Linked DNA regions of Ovis aries. Each later gene encodes a partner of the first gene's protein in a complex. Links are inferred from orthologs where the notes say so. Each region holds a gene or a part of one and is shown on either strand. Other genes may lie near its edges.

Evidence for each region.
Region 2: ODAD4 (region 1) and CLXN share a complex: the UniProt entries of both Homo sapiens proteins name them as parts of the outer dynein arm-docking complex. The link is inferred for Ovis aries from reciprocal best matches to the Homo sapiens genes ODAD4 and CLXN.

Annotation. Positions count from the first base shown.
Region 1 is NC_056064.1:41,838,564-41,842,482, forward strand, and holds the start of ODAD4 (outer dynein arm-docking complex subunit 4), read left to right. Parts: upstream 1-1,345; 5' UTR 1,346-1,433; coding exon 1,434-1,547; intron 1,548-3,486; coding exon 3,487-3,618; intron 3,619-3,859; coding exon 3,860-3,919. UniProt on the Homo sapiens protein: Component of the outer dynein arm-docking complex (ODA-DC) that mediates outer dynein arms (ODA) binding onto the doublet microtubule. Plays an essential role for the assembly of ODA-DC and for the docking of ODA in ciliary axoneme.
Region 2 is NC_056062.1:32,840,183-32,844,101, forward strand, and holds the start of CLXN (calaxin), read right to left. Parts: upstream 2,574-3,919; 5' UTR 2,477-2,573; coding exon 2,419-2,476; intron 1-2,418. UniProt on the Homo sapiens protein: Component of the outer dynein arm-docking complex (ODA-DC) that mediates outer dynein arms (ODA) binding onto the doublet microtubule. Seems to regulate the assembly of both ODAs and their axonemal docking complex onto ciliary microtubules.

The DNA.
Region 1 (3,919 bases):
GTCTACTTGCGGGGCTTATTTTGTATTTTCCTAATGACTAAAGACAGTGGAGCATGTTTCATATTCTAATTGACCATCCATATATCTTCTCTGATGATATAACTATTACAATCTTTTGCTCACTTTTTATTTGCCTTGTTATATGGAGTTGTAAGAGCTCTTTATTTATTGTGCATACAAATTCTTTGTCAGATAGATGTTTTGCAAATATTTTGTCCCAGTCTGTGGCTTGCCTTTTAATTTTTTTAACTTTGTTGTTTTTTAAAAATATATAATTTTATTTATTTATTCTTGGCTATGCTGGGTCTCGGTTGTTTTACGGTGGCTTTTCTCTGATTGCCACGAACGGAGGCTGCCCTCCAGTTGTCAGTTGCGGTGCACAGGCTTTTCACTGCAGTGACCTCTCTTGTAGCAGAACACGGGCTCTAGGGAATGCAGGCTTCATTAGTGTGGCACGTGGGTTCAATAGTTGCAGCTGCCAGGCTGTAGATCATAATGAGCTCAGCAGTTGCGGCTGGAGGGCCTAGTTGCTCCTGGGCAGTTGGGATCTTCCCAGACCAGGGATCAAACTTATGTCTTCAACATTGGCAGGTGGATTCTTTACCTCTGAGCCACCAGGGAAGGCCCAATAATATTGTTTTGAAGAACAAAGAATTTTCACTTTGATGACATCAAATTTGTTTTTCGCTTTTCACTCTATTACATTCACCTATTTTTCTGGTTTTATAATTCTACCTCTTACATTTAAATCTTTTGAGTTAATCTGTCTGTATCGTCAGATTTTTGTTTGTTTTGGCATAGTGAAAGTCGGTAAGTCACGTCTGACTTTTTGAGATCCCATGGACTGAAGCCTGCCAGGCTCCCCTGTCCATGGACTTCTGGAATGCGTTGCCATTTCCTTCTCCAGGGGATCTTCGCGACCCAGGGATCGAACTCAGGTCTCCTGCATTGCAGGCAGATTCTTGACCGTATGGAGCCACCAAGAGGCTCACTCTTGAGGGTGGTACACATGCACAAATACTTGCCACGAATGCCTTATCCCTATTTGGAATTATGCCCCCAATCTTTTCCCTATCTTCAGGGCTGTACTTTTTTTTTTTTCCTGACTGTGGCTTCTGAATGCGAAGCAACTCCGGGAAGAACCGATGGAGCGTGCAACTGCCAACACTACAAGTCGCAAAGAGGCCTCCTTGAAGCGAATAGCCACGCGCTCGTCGTGGTCCAAGCAGTTCGCGGCTTCCTAGGCACCAGCTACACAGGCGGCGGTTGCGACCCGGACTCCGCCCCGCGCTCGAGCCGGGGGTGGGGGATGGGGGCCGGAAGTAATTTACGTCTCCCGGTTGCTAAGAGACGGAGCTTCCACAAACCAGACTCAGGTTCTCAGGCTTCTTTTCCTTCCTTTCTCCGCTTCAGCGTCTCCGAATTCCGTCACCATGGCGGACCCAGAAAATGAAGTCTTGCGAAGCACCTTTCCATCTTACATGGCGGAGGGCGAGCGGCTGTATCTATGCGGGGAGTTCGCTAAAGCCGCCCATAGCTTCAGCAATGTGAGTCGTGCTCTGAAACGTTCAGCTACCCATCACTGAGGTCTTGATGATGCCTGGACCACCCTGTTGTTTCCACTATTCCATTGTTACTGATTGATGCACCGCTGTCAAAGATAAACCCCTGTTTAGCCATTTTCTACCATTTCCCATTTGTATTCTACCTGGTTGTTAATTACCAACCTCTGCGCTAACAGTGACCCCGTCTTCTACAGTTTTGCTCAAATGTGTCGTAATTGGTCTCCTTCCTCAGTTTCCCATAACTGGCTAGGAGGTTGGCTAGGGGGCTGCTTGCAGAAGGGAAGTCTCTGGCACACAGCTGCTTATTGAAGGTGGTCGGTCAGTAAATAACATTATAAAACTTTACTGTAGTATAAATTGTCCCAACCCACCCTAAGGCGGTAACAGTTGAGCGCTGTTTTTGGATACCAGACACACTGCTAAGTGGCAAGCTTAGGGGGAGGTGCTGTTATTATGCCATTTTGAAGGTAAGAAAGCTTTTATAGAAGTTGAGTAACATGCCTAAGATCACTGAACTAGCAGGTGGCAGAGGAGGGATTCAAACTCAGGCAGTCAGACTTCAGTGCTGAGGTGCTAACCTTACCATCATACACTACTGTACTGTCTTGCAAATAAGCTATTGGATGTTTTATTATGACTGTTTTTTTTACAACAAATAGCCCACTTGTTACAAATAATGGGGTGGTAGCATAGCTCTCTAACGTGTCCCAAGACTCCTTCTAAAATCAAACTTCTCAGTTGCTACCTAGAGTCTTTAGTCCCTTTGGATCACCAACCGCATCCTAAAACCAGAAATAATGGATGAGATGGACCAGCAATTAAGTTCAGGAGCCCCATCCATTCTCCTTTTTCTAGAAACTGTTTCATCTTGGAGAAGCTCAGGTAGAAAAAAACACCACAAGGGCTTTTAGCTTTGGGTGAGAAGTGGTCTTTTCTAGGAAAGAAAGGCTCTTTCTGGAAAAGTAGGAAGGTCTTAGACGGAGGTGGGTACAGTCTGATGCCTTAGGAAGAACATCACACTGCAGACTATGTAATGATCTCGGACAGGAGAAGGAAGGACATGGGGACAAGGAGAAGCTTTCCATTCCCACTTTGGGTCCAAAATCACAGTTTCCTTTTGCCTGGCATTTTCATCTTAATCCCCTGAAACAATGATTCATTCTCAACAAGCTATATAAAAAGAGAGGGCATGTATAATGGGTAACACAAGTTGCAGATCATCCTAAAATCCATTTTGTTAGCCTTCAGAATGCTTGGTCTTCAAATAGTATTGGTTTTAAAATGTTTATTTATTTGGCAGCGTGGGGTCTTAGTTGCAGCCCATGGGATCTTCATTATGTTGTCCCTTGTGTCATGGGATCTTGTGGCACACGGATTCTCTAATTGCGTCACCCGGGTTCAGTAGTTGTGCTGCATGGGCTTAGCTGCCGTGTGGCATGTTGGATCTTAGTTCCCCGAACAGAGATTGAACCCACAACCCCTACATTGCAAAGCTGATTCTTGCCCCTTGGACCACCAGAGAAGTCCCCTTCAAGTAGTATTTTGAATGTGTTGTACAACCATTTCAGGTTCATGGTTGAATTTGTTAAGCACTAAACACCCTAGGATTCTAAGTGAACTGGAGGAATCCCAGATACTGGGGAAGTTCAGTATATCCACTGGGTAGTATAGTATATTCTCACATCTCAACCAGTAGTTTCCAAGATACCTTGTGAATGATGACTACCCGCAGATTACCTAGTTGACTAAGCAGAGATCAGTGTGGTACTGGTTTTAGTCTAAAAGGATCCAAAGAAGACCTGTTTGCTGGCCCATGGAGTCCCCCTGAAACTCTGGCAGAAGGATTTGGGCTGCTGTGTCCAGTCCAGCTTCTTACCGCTCCCTGCCAGATGCCTGTTAATCTGAGTGGTTCCTTCTTCAGGCTCTTCACCTTCAGAGTGGAGATAAGAACTGCTTGGTTGCCCGCTCCAAGTGCTTCCTCAAGATGGGAGAGCTGGAAAAATCCCTGGAAGATGCTGAGGCTTCACTCCAGGGAGACCCAACTTTCTGCAAGGTGACTGTTGGGGTGGGAGGACTCCTTCTCGCTTTTCTCACTGCCGCTACCTGCAGCAGCCTCTGATGGTTAGAGAGCCAGTAGACTGCCTGGAGTTTACTGTTGTGTTCCTTCATAGATCACTTGCCTCTGCCCCTGTATCCCAACATTTGTTCTCAACCCAGGGATCCTTACGTTCCACCACACCTGAGTCTGTGCAGGCTTTGTCTGTTCCCTTTGATTTGACTTCCTCTCATTTCAGGGGATTTTACAAAAGGCCGAGACTCTGTACACCATGGGTGACTTCGAATTTGCCTTGGTT
Region 2 (3,919 bases), on another chromosome or scaffold:
TGATACCTGTGTACCAGTGTTCATACCAGGAGTATTCACAACAGTCAAAAGGTGGACGTAACCCAGGTGTCCAGGGAAGGATGAGTAGATGGGTGTCCATCCATACAATGGACTATGATTCAGCTTCAAAAAGGAGGGAAGTTGTGAATCATGTTACCATATCATAACTCTTGAATACAACATGCTAGAGTGAAACAAGCCAACAAAGATAACAAATATTTTATGATTGTACTTCTATGATGTACCCAGAGTAGTCAAATTCACAGAGACAAAAAAGTAGGTGGTGGGTGCCAGGGGCCAGGGGAGAAGGAAGGGACCAATAGTCTCATGGGGACTCAGTTTGGGAAGATGGGAAAGTTCTGGAGATGATGAGGGGCATGGCTGCCCAACAATACGAATGTACTTAATGCCACTGAACTGTGCACTTCAAATAATTAAAGTGATACATTTTGTGTATTTGTGTAATACACAATTTGTGTAATACATTGTGTGTGTTTAACCACAGTAAAAACTCTAAAAATAAAAAGTGATGTTAATGGTTAGAGAAGAGAGACTTGCATGAAAGATGATGCGATCTGTTCCTGTATATGAAATGCTAGCTGAGGGGGTGTTGATTAGCCATTTTCCCATCTCAGCTGAATAAAAATGAAAGAATATTAGCTTATTACCCAAAGTATCAAAGCTGAGTAATTTTTCCACAGGAAAAATTCTCTTGCTGAAATGTTTCTTAAATTCAAGAATACAATACTAAATGAAATTAGGGACATCGGAGAAGGGATTTTTCATCTTTTCAGATTGGTGTAAGTCTGCTCTGCAGATCAGATCTGCCAGGTGGTGGATTAACTAGACCACCACTTAAGATACTTTCTTCTCTGATTCTGCAAAATCTACTCACTTCATCCTGCTGGGAACATCACCTGGCAACTAAAAGGAAATCTGACTTTAGAAGAAAGGTCTTCTGTGTAAAGTTTCAAAATTATTACAACGTCTATGATTAGTTGCCTGGCCCGGGATTCTCACTGTTTCTACAGAATTTAATCATCAAGTTTCTTAAGACTTACTTTAAAAATTTTATGTGAAGGACAAAAATCAAAACTGTTGACTGGTTTTCTTGTCCCGTTTTCACTTATCTTTTAATATATTCACAGAATGTCTGCAATACATTTGCAAACACACTGGAAAAGGAACTAAATCAGATTCAGTGTTTGCCGTGTATAGTAGTTATTGCATTGTTCATTCAATATGTGACTAGATGTTTTAAGAAAATCTGGTCTTTTCCAACAAATGAAAGTATTTTAAGAAAAACAATAGGACAAAACTCTCAGATTATAGTAACCATAATAATAGATTATAGGACAACTTTCATTTTCAGAGTTTAAGATGCTTATACATACCATAACTTTTATTTGCAGCACCATCCTGACAGACTTTCCTACCTCTCATTATATAAGATACTAACTCTGATTAGAAGGCACTAGATTCCATAATCTTTAAAACTACATCAAAACATGTTTGCTCTTCTTTCTTTGCACCATGGGAATAGTCTTGGGATTATGGTTTCTTGTACTTTTTAAGAGGCCAGTAGTTTTGTAATAAGCACATAACTTATAAGCTGGATCATCAAATATTTATACCAGATCCATAGCTTCCTTGCCCAAGCACAGTTCTGTTTTTGAGTCTGAATACAATTATAAGGTTACCTGTGAAATTCTAGGACCACTTTTCAGAATATGTGTGAGATGGGAGTAGGGAGGTTATTAACATTAATATCTTTCATAGGTGTTCATCTTGTCACCTGCCAAGTCTCCTTCACTTTGCAGGAAAGTGGGGCCCCAGAGATGGGAACAGATACTGTATTGTGTGATTAGCTTTTTTGAGCTCCTTGGTTTCCAGGCACATTTCCTTGCCCTGAGATACAGGTTTCTGTACCGCTTTAACCCACCTTTCCTAAGGATGTTCAACCATTGATAACCACTTTCCCATAAGGTTCGCTTAGTAATGTCCAGAACTTGGACCTTGCCAGTTGGTTTGCTCTAAGAAGAGCTTTTTGTTGTGCTACTTCTCTTGATTCCAGTGGGTTTTTAGTGCTTGTTTTCCACCTAAATCTGAGGCTAGGGCCACATACGTCTTCAGGGTAATTAAATCACATTTCTTATAAGGTAAGGGGAAGTTAAGAGAAGGTTTGAGAAGCAAGCACGTGCATGCATGAGTGTAGAATTTGGTGCCTCGACACCTGGAAACGCTCCCTAAGATCCTGGGCTCTGTGGGTGTCCACCCAAAGTAGCTGATGCTAGTGTTCCCTTCCAGACTTCTCTTTAGGGTCAGGCGTGGAGGGACTCTGCAGACCAGACTCTAGCACCCGCAGGATAGGGCCTGACCCGGGAGTCTCTGCCCGCCCAGCCCTTGATTCTTACTTACAATGCTTGCAATTTTTAGTTAAGGAGTCCGTCAGCTTCTGCAGCTTCTTGCGGTTCATGTTGGGAGCTCAGGAAACCGGGAAGAGGCCGGTGTCCGGCGGCGGCTGCCAGGACGGTTGCGAGCCCTGGGTCTGGGGCTGCAGGCAGGTCTCCCCTGTGTGTGTATGCTGTCCTAACACGCGGCGTGGCCGGGGCAACGTCTGGGCGGCCGCCGATTGGCTGCTGGGCAGGAGAGGGCGCGGTCCTAACAGGCGGCGTGGTCATGGCAACCCTCGGGCGGCCGCTGATTGGTTGCTGGGTCTGAGCTCTCTCACTGGGCATCGGGCCAGGCGCCCTCCGACCGCTTTCCGACTGTGACATCGGCGAGTGACCATCCAGGTGTGTCTGGCTCGGATTCACAACCCCTTTGCTGTGCTGCACCGTAAGTCAAGGTCTGAATTTTGTTTTGCGCTCCGTGCGGGGATGTCTTGGGTGGTGAGCGTGACGCCAGGTCCTCAGGGAGGTCTGGGAACCTGGGGGATGCAGGAATGAGCAGGCGTGGATCCGGACGACAGCTGTGCAGGAAGGGAGGGTGAGGGGCTTGCTCTCAGGTTGCCAGTCCTTTTGCTCTGATGCCAGAAGGGAGTCTGCAGCAAGATATCTTCAAGGTTTTGATGATGTTACTGAGAGCAAGAGGAACTTGTAATAATTATTTATTTTTTTCCCTTCCCTGCTCATTCTTGAGGTAGGCGCGGAGGCTGTCAGTCGAATATGGGGAAAACCCCCTAGCAATTTTTTAAGCTGGATAGAGTCAACCTTCCAAATAAAGACATGCTGACAAAGGACAGTGGCTCTGGGGTACAACCTGAATTTGCTTTTCTGGAAGAATATCCCAGCAAAATGAATCTTTTACTTATTTGAAAGACAAGTTTTTTGACTGCAAACAAAGGCTAATTTTTACATCTTTACTCTGAGAGAAGTTTCTGCTTTTAACACAGATAAGACACCGTGTTTGAATTAAGACAGTAACAAGGGTTAGTTCAGCCAGAAGGAAAAGGTTGTACAATATTCTCCAACATGTCACTTGTTTCACTTCAGAAGCAGTAATTCTTTTTAATATGAATTATTTTATAGTGTGTGTACTATCATTGTGAAATGGAAAGCAGAAAAATTCTACCGACCATGAGTAACGATTCCAAATCAGGTCTCTGATTCTGTTTTCTTTTTTCATTTGTTATGGAATGGAAGACTGGGATGCTGTTTGAATCCAGAGTCAAGGATGCTTGAGGAAGGCAGGCACTGTGTTATCCTGAAGCAGATTCCTTGAGAACAGTAACTAATATGAAATGATAGTGATTGTGAGTTTTCCAGTTAATGGCTAACTGGTATTCCTATGCATAGTCTTGTCGGGCAGGTGTGGCATTTCTAATAGGATTGTAGGGAATGAATAGGGGTGGATGTATTCGGATACATTCACTGTGAGACCTTAGGGACTTGTCAGATGTCAGATATGGCAAATACTT